Linked DNA regions of Nothobranchius furzeri. The protein of the gene in region 2 binds, or shares a complex with, the protein of the main gene of each other region. Links are inferred from orthologs where the notes say so. Each region holds a gene or a part of one and is shown on either strand. Other genes may lie near its edges.

Region 1 (3,760 bases), on a different chromosome or scaffold from region 2:
GTTGCATCCCGGTTTTCATTCAGACATAAGTTTAAGGTTTATTTAAAATGTCTACGAGATGTTTGGATAAAAATACCTGAGATACAGAACTCCGGCTTCTTTTTTAACAGTTTTAGAGGCAAACGACAAGAGCTGCTGGTCATCAGAGCAGCATTCCTGTTGCATATGGATGATGCAACCAGTCACAACATGGAATGTTGAATTTCCAACTTCCTTACATTCTTGGAATGAAAAAAGGGCGCGACCACCACATAGTTCTGTCCTAACCTTTACTGGAACTGAAAGTGTTGAAAAGTAACCCAAACATAAAGATAAGTGCTCCGCAGAGGATAAAAGTGCATGAATTATTTAAAAACAAACAATGTAGTACCACTAAACTGCACCTCCCCACGGCTCACGCCCCCACTAGTTAAAGCAAACAGGGGCAAATGTATGTACCCATAAATAAAGATTGTCTTATTTTGGTGTTTTTGATTCAAGAAAACTAAAATGGGATCATAATGTGTGTCTTTCCTGGTAACTAAGCCCCCAAGAATGAAAATTTCAGCTGATATTTTCATTGATGAATGCAGACACAATCATCTGACTAAAGAACTGAGTTCTTACTTGTTTCTTTAGGGAGTCTGAGGCGACAGTGTCCCACCACAGGCGAAAGAACTCCTGTTCCACAGCGATGAACCTTCGATCTTTGTACTTTGACAGCTCCTGGGTCACACTGGTGTACACGTTAGCTGCATAGGCATGCATGCTCTCCTGCAAAACACACACACACACACACACACACACACACACACACACACACACACACACACACACACACACACACATACACACACGCACGCACGCACGCACGTTTAGAGGGGAAAACACACATATTCATTTGGAATTCAAGATCACCCTCCACTACCTGAATGGTGTAAACCCAGCCAACATCCATGTGACTGTGAGGAATGACAAACGTTTGAATGGGCTGATCCTCAGCTGTCGATTCATGTGAACAAAATAAACAAAAACACACAAAAACTGTAAAAAACATATTTTTTTCCATCCTGAAAATGAGAAAATTCGTTCGACAAAATCCACCAGCTTCACTTCCTTATCATGTTGTTGTTTAGAATGACTGGCATTTCATACGGAAGCCCTGGTAGCCCAAAAGAAGTGACGCGAGTGACGTTCAACACTGGTGTTACATTCAAATGCGCCCCCTATTGTGTTTAAATCATGCCCATGCTATTTCACACTTATATAGTTCAAAATAATTTTAAAAAACTGCTATAAGGAAAAATCTTCATAAGTTATTTTTAAACAAATTTTAGCAAGTAGCAAACTGAAATAAAACAAAAAAATCTCAGTGTTCAGTTGGATAATAAGCTCACACATATCAAATAAATGAACTTATCTCATATTGTCAAAGACAATTTTGTTCTTTGAAGCTAAAATGTGTAAAAGTTAGCAAGACGGAAAATATTTTGATGTCTAGTTTGGGAACATTTTCAGCGGACACATTTCTATGTAGAACATATCATGACGTAATGGCCGGAAGCTGTCGCTGTAAACGCAAGTAAACACGCTTGGAGGTGAGAGACCGCCTCTGATGTAAGAAAATGTCCAAAAACGCTAAAATAGTGTTAATATTCGGAGGCTTCGTTACGGCGGTGGCCGCTGCGTTTTACCCCATATTTTTTTATCCTCTAACACACAAAGACGATTACAGTAAGTGCTTATTTTCCAACACGAGCACTCAACTGCTTCATATTGTGTTTTAACTTGAAATCCAGCAATGCTAAATGTTGTTTGACACGATTGAAACGCTAGCTAACTTTAGCTTGTTTACCACTGACTTTCTATGACAGAGTTTTTAATCCCGTAGTGAAGAAATCAAACCAGCAAAAATAAAATAAAAATCTTAACCAACAAATATGTTTTAATATTAATCTTGTGTTCTGTGTTTCTGTGATTTTGCCAGGAGAAGTCCAAAAGGTAAACCGGGCAGGAATTAACCAGGCAGATGTGCAGCCAGTTGGTAAGAACTAATAATAAAACAAAAATCAGCAATAGTGATCGGCTGTTATCTGGGTCACTCCATTCCCTCAGACTCTACCCAGCTGTTGCCGCCATTACTTTCTGTTATTTATCTGTATATTCAGTGTTTTGATACAAAAAGTAGATTTATCTCCCATTTAATTAAATTCCAACCCTTAAATCACTTTCAGCTTTTTTCAACTAACAAAATCAATTTATTAAAATGTACCCTTAAAGCTCATTATCTTAAATTTTAATTATTATTTTTATTTATCTCACTTATCCGTGGGTCCAAGGCATTTTCTAGGACTGTAAGAAGTTCAACTTCTTTTTTGTAGAGCTCGTTCTGCCCTTCAGTTAGTCTTTCATAAAACTGCATTCATAAACTCTGTTTTTCTGTCAATAAGGGGTTCTGTGTGTACAATGAGAAAAAAATGAATGTATTGTTTTCCACAAAAACTGCAATATAAGAGGAAGAAGAAGAAAATATAATTTCTATAGTGCCTCTGAAGATAAAAATCATGAGGTGCTTCACATAAACAAAAAATGTAAAAATATCAAAAAGAATTTAGAAAATTGTTAAAATATATTTAAAATTAGCAAAAAAATAATAGACAATTGTGATTAGAAAATGTAAAGAGAGAGAGTGAATAGGAAAGAGGGAAATCAGTGGATCCTGAGGAAAGTGGAATAGGTGGGGAGAGCAGAATAAAGAGAGAGTGGTGAAGAAGGTCATGCAAAAGCCACTTTGAACAGCTGATTCTTCAGCTGCTTTTTGAAGGAGACCACTGAGTCCACTGATCTCAGGCTCAGGGGGAGAGAGTTCCAGAGTCTGGGGGGCCACAGCAGCAGATGATCTGTCACCTTTGGTCTTTAGCCTGGTGCTGCACAACCAGTAGGCTTTGATCACTGGCCTCAGGGACCTGCTGGGGGTGTAGGGACTAAGAAGATCACCAATGTAAGATGGTGCTTGTTCATGTAAGGCCCTGTAGACCTGAACCAGGATCTTGAAATGAACCCTGAAGTTGACTGGCAGCCAGTGAAGCTGGAGGAGAAGCGGGGTGATGTGGGTGTGTTTGGAGGACTTGGTCAGAAGCCGAGCACAGGCATTCTGAACCACCTGTAGACGGTTCAGGGAGGTTCTGCTCAGACACGTGAAAAGAGAGTTACAGTAGTCTAAGCGTGAGGAGATGAAGGTGGGGGTAACGATCTCAAGTTCAGAGTGGGACAGAATGGGACTCAGCTTAGCAACGTGCCTGAGATGGAAGAAGGAAGAGCGAACAAGAGAACTGACATGAGAATCCAGGGTGAGAGCTGGGTCAAAGGTCACGCCAAGATTCCTGACGGAAGGTTTGGTGTGGGAAGCAAGCTGACCAAGAGAGTCTCTGACTTTGGGAACCAGCTTGTCTGGGGCACAGATGAGGATATCAGTCTTATCTTCATTCAGCTGTAGAAAGCTCCCAGCCATCCAGGTTTTGATAGAGTCTAAGTAGGTGTGTAACATCTGCAGCTTAGACATCTCATGGGGCTTAAAGGAGATGTACAGCTGGATGTCATCTGCATAAAGATGGTAGGAGATTCCTTTGAAGGAGCTCAGGATGTGCTGAAGAGGAAGCAGATAGAAGAGGAAGAGCAGAGGCCCCAGCACAGAACCTTGTGGGACACCATGGGTAAGAGAGGTGGTGGAGGACCTAAACTTGGAGACGGCCACAGAGAAGGAGCGCTCAGAGAGATAAGA
Region 2 (2,302 bases):
CACCCCGGTCTGCCACTCCACAGGAACTGCCCCTGATGACCACGCAGTGTTGCAGAGACGTGTCAACCAAGACAGTCCTACAACATCCAAAGCTTGGAGATACCCAGGTCCGATCTCATCCACCCCAGGGGCTCCTCCGCTGCGTAGTTGTTTGACTACCTCAGCAATTTCTGCCCCAGAGATTGGACAGTCCATCCCCAGGTCTACCAGCTCTGGTTCCTCCTCGGTATGCGTGTCAGTGGGATTGAGGAGCTCCTCAAAGTATCCCTTCCACCGCTTGACTATGGCCCCAGTTGACATCAATAGCTCCTCATCCCCACTGGAAACAGTGTGAGCAAGTTGCTGCCTTCCTTGGTCTGACGGAAAACCCTTGTGTCAGACATTAGTTGCTGCTGAAAAATACTGTCAAGAGTTCATGGACCTCACCTTATTGATGTACAGATTTGCTTGTCCCTTTCCTCCCTGGACACTAGTCCTCTTGAGGTGAATGAGCTGGAGTACAGAAGGGTAAAAGTACGTGGACATTACGACCACTCCAAGGAGCTATATGTCATGCCCCGCTCGCCCGTTAATCCGGAGAAGGAAGCCAGAGAGGCTGGAAGTCTGTCCTCGAGTGGAGAGATCGGCGCTAATGTCATCACCCCGTTCCACTGCACCGACCTTGGGTAAGTACGCACGACGGTGTTCCTAACATCACAGCTGATAGTTTAAGAACTAACCTGCAGCTGCTCGTTTCTCTGCAGCACCACAATCCTGGTGAACAGAGGATATGTTCCAAAGCAGAAAGTCAGACCAGAAACGAGGATGAAGGGGCAGGTTTGTTTTTTAGTATTCCAAGACATTTATTTTAGACAAGATTTGACTGATTTAGTTATCTTTACCCTATATTCACTGTAATTTAAAGGCACGCGTCTGAAACCTAATCTGTTTAAATCTTCTTTTGGCTGAAAGTGTCACTGTTAGCCTTCATTAATCTGGTTTTTAGTTTTATGCAAATTCAATTTAGCAAAAATTAATCCATCATTTGACATTTTTAATCCTTTAACGCCAGCTGTGCTGCTTTCGTGCAGGTGGAGGATGAGGTGGATGTGGTGGGAGTCGTTAGGCTGACTGAGAGTCGGAAACCATTTGTACCAAACAATGATGTGAACAGAAACCGCTGGCATTACCGTGACCTGGAGGCCATGGCCAGCGTCACAGGAGCAGCACCGATTTTCATTGACGCAGACTTCGGTAAGATCTCCATCACAATCCAAACAAAAGTTTCAGCTGGCTTCAAAACTAGTATTTCCATTGTTACAAAACTCATAATTTGAGATGTTCTGTATTGCGCAGAGAGCACAATCCCTGGAGGGCCAGTTGGTGGACAGACCAGAGTCACTCTGAGGAACGAACACATGCAGTATATAATAACATGGTGTGTTCAGTGAACCTTTATCTTTTTTAAAACCAGGAAACAGATTTATAAATATTCCTTCTCCTTTTGCAGGTATGGCCTGTGTGCAGCTACGTCCTACATGTGGTGGGCCAAGTTCATCAAAAAGATTAAAATGTAATTCAGATTGCAACAGAAATGTTTCCTACTGTATACCAATATCAGCTTGCTCAGTACTTTTATTTATCCAACAAGAAATAAAATCTTTGGTTGTGGGAATTTTATTTGAAGCTATAAGTGGCTAAGAGTTGCACCTGTTTTATAAAGAGCCAAATAAACGTAAACCAAGCTAGCTGGTAAAAAAACTTTCATTAGAAATTTAATTACAGTGAAGCTCCAGCTGTTCACACATTTATACAAGTACAGAACTAATGCAGGTTTAACTTGGATTAGTTGAGATCAGTTAGATTATATCAGACCCATGAAAACCATCTGACCTTTTAACTAAAGGATCCACAAAGTTTCTTCTCACCTTGCCTTTACGGTACAAAGAAATTCTGCTAAAATTGATAAGAATAAGTAAATTTAATCAAACTAACCTTTATACATTTGAGATGATTCTTTAACTTAACAGTTTGTACAACACTAACTTTAAATGATAGACAAACTCAGTAATTTTAGGACATAGATTTTTTATTCCAAACATTTTAACCAAGCTTGGTTGCCAGCTCCTTGGCCTTTGCTTTCTCCAACTTAGTGAAGCGGGCTGTGGATTTGGGGCCCAGGATGCCACCTCCCCAGTGACGACGGATCTGAAAAACAGGTTTAGGTTGTTTGGAAAGTTTGTTTTGAGACAAATTTGTAAAATATAAATACTAACATGATTAACTCTCACCTCTTCATATCTGTCATTGTAGTTGGTCTTGA

What was found. The genes of interacting proteins can lie anywhere in the genome.
Region 1: surf1 (region 2) and smim20 share a complex: the UniProt entries of both Homo sapiens proteins name them as parts of the MITRAC (mitochondrial translation regulation assembly intermediate of cytochrome c oxidase complex) complex. The link is inferred for Nothobranchius furzeri from reciprocal best matches to the Homo sapiens genes SURF1 and SMIM20.

Annotation. Positions count from the first base shown.
Region 1 is NC_091742.1:58,396,520-58,400,279, reverse strand, and holds the start of smim20 (small integral membrane protein 20), read left to right. Parts: upstream 1-1,511; 5' UTR 1,512-1,604; coding exon 1,605-1,713; intron 1,714-1,966; coding exon 1,967-2,023; intron 2,024-3,760. Other genes in the region: man2b2 (epididymis-specific alpha-mannosidase), read right to left, coding at 607-753, 908-1,048.
Region 2 is NC_091746.1:62,106,473-62,108,774, reverse strand, and holds the end of surf1 (surfeit locus protein 1), read left to right. Parts: intron 1-473; coding exon 474-665; intron 666-743; coding exon 744-816; intron 817-1,070; coding exon 1,071-1,233; intron 1,234-1,335; coding exon 1,336-1,417; intron 1,418-1,489; coding exon 1,490-1,556; 3' UTR 1,557-1,659; downstream 1,660-2,302. Other genes in the region: rpl7a (large ribosomal subunit protein eL8), read right to left, coding at 2,083-2,187, 2,271-2,302. UniProt on the Homo sapiens protein: Component of the MITRAC (mitochondrial translation regulation assembly intermediate of cytochrome c oxidase complex) complex, that regulates cytochrome c oxidase assembly.